Linked DNA regions of Drosophila melanogaster. The protein of the gene in region 2 interacts with the protein of the main gene of each other region in a pairwise test. Each region holds a gene or a part of one and is shown on either strand. Other genes may lie near its edges. The genes, in order: CG7564 and CG10208.

Region 1 (5,369 bases), on a different chromosome or scaffold from region 2:
AAACAAATAGTTCATAAAGATAGATTAAAGAAATTTCATTCATGATTGAATTTAAACTTATATTTTCCTTAATCATTTATACAAATTTTCCATACACTACGTATATTTTTATCTTTGCATTATAAAATCAACTATTGTTGTTCAAACAAAAACACAAACAAAATAAAAATAAAAATAAAATAATTTGCATTTAATAATCAAAATAACTTCACTAGGTTACGTTATTTTTCAAAAGGAGGGAGATGTAGTATGTGCCTATGCAATATTAAGAACAATTAAATAAAATAGCATATTAACTTATGGCAGCACTTTGTTGCTATGTTTATGTTTATGTTTATGCACGCAGTTAGGCCAGGGCAGATGTAACATGATCACCCACTCGAAGGCAAAAAGTATAAGTGCATGGTCAGCATTCACACGCCGACCAAATACATATTACATACGTACATACATATCTCGCTCTCCCGATAAGCCTAGATATATAAGATATACATAAGAACGCCGCTCCGCTGCTGGCGTACCCGGCAGCGCAGCTACGCGGATTAGCCTAAGTCAAAATATATAAAAAACTGTAAAATCAGAGAGACTCTGTAGACGTTGAGCTGACAGAACCATTTCTGCCTACTCTAAAATCAAAAGAAGAAATTGAATAAATATATGTCAGCCCGACGGCTGCCTTCAACTTAAAACGGACTTGTGTTCTTAATTGGAGTTCATCATTACAGTGGTTCAAGTACCATTTGGCAAGATAAACAGAGATTTAGTAAGAAACGGATTTTAATTCAATTGCCTCTAAACAGCTACGAGATTAAAATTTATTTTGGTTTGTGGTGATTGTATTTTTTATTATTTATTTTCAAGAGAGAGAGAAAGGAGGAGGAGAAATACGTACGTTGGGATCTGGATCGCCGAGAACCCTAGAGAGCCTGGCTTGCTTATGGGGCACCATTATAGTCGTTATATGTATACGTACCACAGTCGTGATCTTCTAACATTAATACGTACCCAGAACCGAATAAATAAACGACACTCTCATTCGACGATTCAAAAGGAAACGTCGTCGGCCGGTATGGATACGTACCCAAGCTATATTATCTGGATTATCTATGTAATACGCATATCTGCCAAAACAACTAACATTGGTCTGGTATAATGTATATAGTCACCTCGCCATACTCAATACGTACCGAAGCTGTGCGAGAGTTTAAGCGGCTGCGAAAGTGTGGAACGGAACTTCAAGTAGAGAACGCTTTGGGGTTACAAATCAAATCAAATCATATCATATCAAATGAAATCAAATCAGAGCAGTGATGGAGTGTGTCAGAGTTAAATATGGTGGAGGCTTACCCCAAAGCGGGACGACAGCGATGCACAACACACGTTGACTTCGACTGGGTGAACGTGATCGTTAGCTGAGAAGAGTACATGGTCGAATGTGGTCAGGTTTGGTTGGGTTTCAGTCAATGTTACCAACTTGTAGCTAGCTATACAACACACAAAATATCATATATTAAACGTTTCTCCTGCTCTGAATCCTTATAAATTAGTTATCTTTAACTTGACTGCCGCTGTGTCCTAACCGAATTACAATGAACTGAACTTTAATTGACAACACTGCCGATTCGTTGGGATTTCTATTTTCTGTTTGGGTTTCTGTCTCTACGTGCCAAGTACACTGGACTGGACGGGGACTATATAATTTCAATCGCATTATATCGAGTATATCGTTTCTCTTAAAGTTTTTATTGAGGCTGGGGTCTTGGACTGCGTTCGGTTTACTTTGGGGTAGTAACAAAAATTTGTCATTAGAGGTTGGAACGCAAGATCAAAAATAGAAATCAATTAAATTATTAAAAATGTACAAAGGTAGTTGTATCTTCATATTGGAGCGTCGAAAGTGTGGCTCTAGGTTGCTTTATTGGTTACGCTAAGAATATTCGGTTCCTGTTGTTTTCAGTAGTTCAATTTGTGGTGGCATTATAGTTCATGTGATTAATGCTACGTACGTGCGCTGGGCGGGATTCTAGCCTAGCGGCGGTAGTTGCGCTCACGGGAGTAGGATCGTTTGCGCTGGCCATTTCCGCCGCCACCACCATCCCTGAAGTGGTTAAAGTTCCGCCGTTCGCGTGGCGAGCGTTCCCTGGACCTTGAGCGGCGTCTGTCGTCACGGTGATGGCCACCGCCTCCTCCACCGCCGCCTCTGTCACCAAAGCGTCCTCTGTCGTTGCGTCCATGTCGGTCCCGATCCCGCCTGCCATCGCGTTCCCGTTCGCGATGATCCCTGCCGTGGTTGTCCCTGTCATCTCGCCGTCCTCCACGATCTGGTGCCCTTTCGGCTCGCTCCGGACCATCTGCCGCTTCCTTGGGTCGCTCACTCCCCTTCTCCTCAGGACCGCGTCCGTTGTTGGGGCGTTCGCGGTCCCCATCCCGGTTGCGCTGTCGTTCTCTGGAGCGGGAACGATGTACGCGAGAGCGGCGGTCCAGTTCACGACCACCTACAAAGTAGCGATTGCGTCCGCGTCCCTCGTCCTCGCGGTCCGTCATCTTACCCGTCCGCTTGAGCTCCGCCTTCCGCGGCGCCGCCGTCTTCTCCAGTTCGATCAGCTTTTCTCTGATAGTGAGGAATCCGAGATGTAACTTACCACCAAAGTGGTCCGCCAGACGTATGTCATTGTCGTGAATCCCGAGGTAGGCGGAGCATACCTCGCAGACGCGCAACTTTTGCTGCTGGTAGGTGGATGCGGGCATAGATGTGCGGTACTCGTGCTCGGCCTTGATCTTCTTAGCACGCAGCTCCTCGATCTCCTTCATCAGCTCCATGCTGTCCTCCACTTCGCCGGCCTCGCCCAGGGCCTCGGCCTTGGCCAACTTCTTGCCAATCTCCTCGGCGAGGCCATGGACAGCATTGGCCTTCTCAGCCACCTCGGCGGTCAGCTCTTCCTGGGTCTCTTTCAACCTTTGCTTGGCGGAGTCGGTGCGTCGATCGCAGTCGGCAATAAAGGCCTGCAGGTGTTCCATGGCCTCAATGTCGTAGTAGTAGTCGCGCGTCTTGGCGGCACTTTCGTAATCTGCGCGGAAAGCCAGGTCATGCACTTTGGGACACTCACCGAGATCCATGCGCGTGGACGCCAGGATGTCGTGCGGACAGCAGTCGAGCAGAAAGGACTTGCAGACCCTGGGGTCCGAGAATTTCAGTTGGCGCTCGTCGCCATTCCGTGTGGTACCCATAAGCTGGTCCAGCATTGCTCGCATCTGATCGGTGGCCGACATTTTGTTGCTCGGCGCGCTCATATCCTTCTGGCCAGGAGCGCGTGAAAAATGCTGCAGCGGTGGCAGTGACAGCTATCTCACTGGCTTTGTGACCAATAGCGTGCGACGCGTGTGGAAATTCTCAATTTTCACTCACTTTTAATCACCTAAGAAAATTCTGTGCGTGCGTGCGTGAGGATGTTCTAAAATGGGGTAGTGCTGAAAAACAGTGCTGTGAAGCACGAGTAGGCGATATATCGGTGAAAAGTCACGGTTTCTGGGAGTAACGGCTTTTGTTCAGATCCAAGTATATAGATTATTGTTGATTAAATGATTAAATAAAAAACAAAGGCACATCATTTAATTTCCAAGAACAAATGTAGTTCTCTCTAATAACGGTATATCGCGATCTTAATATAAAATTTTATTAAACACGTGGAATAAAGTTTCAGTTTTAAATAGTTATTGTTTTAAATATAATTTAGAGTTTCAAAAACCGTTCATTTAACAATAAACAACAAACAATATCGATCTAAAAACTATTGCTTATTCGCTGCATACCGCTCTAAACATCGGTGATGGCATCACTAAACCACCCCTCTCGGCGTTGCTCAACACTAGGCAGCAAAACGTTTTCTTTACGGCAATATTTTTTGTTGTTTCTTCGTTGTTTCGGCGAAATTTTATTTTAAAATTAATTATTTTGCACTTGTTTGCTGGCCGCAACGATGTCCGATGACGACGATATACAGTACATTAAGCGGCAGCGAACGCTGCACTATGGATCGCTCGAGGAATCGGAACGCAAGCGGCAAAATGCCGCGGCGTCTGGGGCAGCAGCAACAACAACATCGGGAACGACGGCATCGTCTGGGGCAGGAACAACAACAACTGGAACAGGCGGGCAACTGGAAGACATCGATTCCGATGAGGATTACGAGGAGTCCACGAAAAAGACAAGCAACGCCAAGCAGGCCGGAGCACCACCACCCACAGCCGCTACTCTGGCCAACAAAATTGACGATGACTACTTCGATCTAGAGATGGAAATGGAGCGCGACAAGGTGGCGCTCCTTGAGGAATTTGAGCGGAAAAAGCGAGCACGACAGATAAATGTGTCCACAGACGACACGGAGATCAAGAGCAATCTGCGCCAGCTAAACGAACCCATTTGCTATTTTGGAGAAGGACCGGCGGAGCGAAGAAGACGTCTTAAGGAACTCTTGGCTGGATTGGGCGAGAACGCCATCAACAAGAGGCAGTATGAGGATGAGGAGCGCAAGCAGCAACAGCGGGAGCAGGATCAGGCCACCTGGTACCACGAGGGACCCGATAGTTTGCGTATCGCTCGACTCTGGCTGGCGGATTATTCCCTGCCGCGCGCCAAGGATCGCTTGGTACGAGCACGTGAGGCCCTTGAAGTGCCCAGCGCAGCACGTGCCGGCCGAATGGTGGAGATGCAGAAGAAGCTCCAGTCGCTGGCTCCACTGTGCTCCCAGGTGGGTGACACACGGCCCGTGAGTAGTGCTGCCTTCAGTGAAGACTCCTCACTCCTTCTGACCTCCTCATGGTCGGGTCTCTGCAAGCTGTGGAGCGTGCCCGATTGCGAGCTGAAGCAGACGCTGCGTGGACATGCCAGCTATGTGGGCGGAGTGGCTCTGCGGCCGGGAGTTAAGGCAGACGAGGAGAACGTGGTGGCCATGGCTTCCGGTGGCCACGATGGCGCCGTCAAGCTGTGGGGCTTCAACAACGAAGAGTCGATTGCCGACATCACCGGCCACATGCCGCATCGCGTCTCTAAGGTAGCCTTCCATCCTTCCGGCCGCTTCTTGGCCACCGCCTGCTACGACTCTAGCTGGCGGCTGTGGGATCTGGAGCAAAAGACAGAGGTGCTTCACCAGGAAGGGCACGCAAAGCCGGTTCACTGCCTTAGCTATCATTCCGACGGCAGTGTCCTGGTCACCGGCGGTCTGGATGCCTTTGGACGAGTGTGGGATCTGCGCACTGGGCGGTGCATCATGTTTCTGGAGGGACACTTGGGCGCCGTTTTCGGCGTGGACTTTTCTCCAAACGGATTCCACATAGCAACAGGGTCCCAGGACAACACATGTAAAATCTGG
Region 2 (3,516 bases):
CCGGCTCCCGCTGCATGGACATCGAGTTGTTGGCATTGGCGCCCACGGCCTCCAAGTCCAATTCCACGAACTCAAGTATGTGACCACTCTGGTCGCGGCGAGGAGCCAACTTAGTGCTTCCCGGGCAACGGGGCGCATGCAACAGGCGCATCGGATCGAATTTGCGGGGCAAAACATCCGGCAGGGGATTGTGGAGGGACAGCTCCGGTCGCAGGATATAGTTGCGCAGCCGTTCGAGGTTATCCTCGCCCCTAATCTCATTCATTTTAATAGTTTATTCCTGGCGAAAATAACTTTGTTTAGCATTTGCCAAAATACAAGGAAAAAATCAACAAGAGTCGGCAGATAATTTGGATGGACTGGTCACCCTAAAAATCGAGAAACAATCGCGTAACGAATTGCATCCCGTGCAGTGTGCAAAGATATTTTAATTTTTTTAATTAAAAATAATTTTAACGAATTTATTCCAAAATTTATATTAAGTAAAACAAAAACTCAATAATTATTGCAGTAATATATTTGTATTGATAATTCGTCATCAATACGGAAGATGATCTTGCACATCTCTATGGCACTGTTTACATAAATGGCACGCTGTTAGAACCAGATTTCCGCACACGGAATGAAAATGGTTCTGTTTACTTGCGACGGAACACTTCGACCTTGAGGGGGTGGCACTTGTCGTCCGGCACATCGGCGCCCACTGCGATGGAGACATCGCCCTGTGGACAGGCGCTCAGAGCCACCAGAAGATTCATGTCGGCCACAAACTCAATGAAATCCCCCTTGCGCGCTGGACTTGCCTTGCAGAAATACTGATGCGTGTCCCGTGTAAATCCGGTGCACATAAAGATGTTCCACACGTCGTGTACATCCTGCTCGGTCAGCCCGCGCTCCTCCACCACCGCCTTGACTAGGGAACTGTGGCAACTGCCCACCCGATCCTTGCCCGTGATTAGCTTGTAGGTGTAGTCGTCGCACCGTGTTCCAATTACGTCGTGCAGAGCACCGCCATCCTCATCGATGCCATAGGCGGCAAGGGAATCAAACACAAAGGTGGCCATGGGACGCAGGTGGGGCAGGCAGCTCCACAGACGATCGTAAACGCGCAGATGCGACGAGTGCAGCTGGCGCGTCTTGCCCGAGTAGAAGCGCTCGGCGGTGTTCTCCAGATTCCAAAAGTTCATGTCGCCCACCTGAGAACCTTCGTGGACAGTGACGCGGCACAAATCACCCTCTTGCATTGTCCAGGTGCGTGCCTCCCGTTTGGGCACAATCAGTGTCTCCACAAGATCGCCAGTCAGGGCACGATAACGTTTATTCTGTAGTCTCCGAGTCGGATTAGATTATTTTATCATTGTATTATTGCTATTGTTCGCGTTACTTACATCATACTCCTCCTTCGAAACGATCGAAGCTGCGGGCTTGTCATAGCAGATGACTGGCGGTTCCTTTTCAAAGGTTCGGGGCTTGGCACCGCGCCCACACCAGGAGGCGGGGGCGGCGGAGGTTTCAGTGGGAACAACAGCAGCCATGGCCAGTGAAACGTTTTTCGCTCGTGCAGCAGGTAAGAAGCTAATCAGAGAGTAAATATGTTGTGGTCTAACTAGCGATCGAATGACTACTGATCTCGCTCCACAACTGGACTAAACAGGTAGGTCCCAACAAAGCTTTCGATAGGCACAGCGCAGTTCTATCGGATTTGAAATGATTCCCAGCCAGCGAACGTTGTTAGAAACATTTTTTTTTTTTACTTTCTTATACTACTAAGTTTATGAAATTTATGAAAATCAATTAAACAAATCAACAAAAAACTATTATTCTTCTGGTCTTTTCCGACGAAACGTTTTTTAAATATTAAGCAATCATACATAAATGATGCCGTACTCAAACCTATGCTACAGCTGACTTTTTTTTCTTTTGCGAGGGGGATGCTAATCAATTGATTATAACTAAGTTAATTTGACCCTAGACTAAACATTGTATCTTCGAGCTTTGTTTGTTTCGGCACCTATATCTCCATCATGGTGGGTTGCTGCCGCTCGCTAAATGGTGGCTCGTTTTGGATTTTGTCTAGTAGCTCCTCCAGCCAGATGCGCAGCTCCTTTGAGGCGAACTCCTGCGGCAGTGGCAGCCGCTCCAGGGCCACCTTAAGCACCGTGGAAGACTCCATCTCGGGACAGACAATGCACATGCCGTGCACCAAGCAGCTGAGGCTCTGCGAGATTTCACTCTGGCACAGGCGGTGCTTGGAGGTAGGGCACGGGAGCAGACTGATGCGGGAGCAGAGTTCGCTTAGTTGTGGTTTTAAGTTCTCCCAGCGCGCATTGATGTCAGCGATGTTGGTCACACTGCGGATCTGTTTGAACTTGGCACTGATGTCGATAAAGTCCAGGAAGATCTGGCCCTGGTTGGCCCAGTTGGGCACTCGGATGCTGCTGCCCTCTGTATCCTCGAATTGAATGAGCAGGCTATGCAGGTATTTCATTTTACCTGCAAGTTTGCAATGACAATTGTTAGTAATCCACCGAAATAATTCTTATCATAAGGAACCAACCGTTTATGATGGCATCAGGAGCAATGTGTTGGAAGATGACATCGTGCGCCGTAGCAAAATGTTTTGCCTTTAGCAGATATTTGGCTTGAAGGTGATGCTTTCCTGACGCTCCCGCCTTTACCGCCTTCGCATAGTCCACCCACGACATCGGAATACCAAGCTCTTCGACGATAAAGCGCTCTTCCGCATATAGAGCCACCTTGGCGGAAACGCTGACATTCCTCTGTAGCATTTGCTGAACTGCACGTTCCCTCTGGGTCTGCTGCTTAATATGCAAAAGAACAAAGATACCCCACTGCCAGAGGCCTTCGTTCTCCAACTGGCTAGCGAAATCCACCGAAAGACGAGCCTCCGTTAAGGGCGAACAGTGACGGTAGCCAAGAGCTCGCAGAGTTTGCAAGAGCAGCCAGCTAAAATGATTTGATATGATTTATTTTGCACTGTACCAAAAAATTCTTTTAGCTCACCTCAAACGAAAGTCCATGGCATCGGCGGTATGCGTTATAGGATTGAGAGTTTCTTCCAGGGAATGCATACGTTTAGAGTGTAACTGGAGCAAGTGGTAGCGCAAATCGTAGACGGGCTTCTTGGTGTCAGTAGGTGCGTCCCTGTAGCTGGGCTTTGGGGGCTCCGCATAGCACTCTTCCGCTTGGAAGGCGTCGTTATAAGCATTGAGTGCATCGGTGATAGACGATGTTGGGGCTGTGAAATACCATAGCTGCAGGGCCAGTGCTGTCAGCCAGTTTTTATTCTCGAGTAAGTTGATGGCCCCATGTGAAGACTGCATCATTGGCGCTCCGGCGGCCAGCATGTACATCTTAAGGCGCTCCAGATCGATATACTTATCCGACTTGCTCTGCTGCCAGGCAAAGAGCTGCTCCTCCATTAATAGCCGGAAGACAGCTCCGGAACTTAATTGGGACAGCACAAGAGCCAGATTAGCATCATCGTAGCTGAAG

What was found.
Region 1: the proteins of CG10208 (region 2) and CG7564 interact in a two-hybrid assay, tested with the Drosophila melanogaster proteins (one large-scale study listed by BioGRID).

Annotation. Positions count from the first base shown.
Region 1 is NT_037436.4:17,512,390-17,517,758, reverse strand, and holds the start of CG7564 (uncharacterized protein), read right to left. Parts: upstream 3,462-5,369; 5' UTR 3,292-3,461; coding exon 2,029-3,291; 3' UTR 1-2,028. Other genes in the region: U4-U6-60K (U4-U6 small nuclear riboprotein factor 60K), read left to right, coding at 3,978-5,369. UniProt on the Drosophila melanogaster protein: May bind to RNA via its Arg/Ser-rich domain.
Region 2 is NT_033777.3:23,772,498-23,776,013, forward strand, and holds CG10208 (uncharacterized protein), read right to left. Parts: upstream 1,631-3,516; 5' UTR 1,536-1,630; coding exon 1,389-1,535; intron 1,323-1,388; coding exon 639-1,322; 3' UTR 501-638; downstream 1-500. Other genes in the region: tst (twister), read right to left, coding at 1-265; Nup98-96 (nucleoporin 98-96kD), read right to left, coding at 2,012-2,493, 2,558-2,967, 3,025-3,516.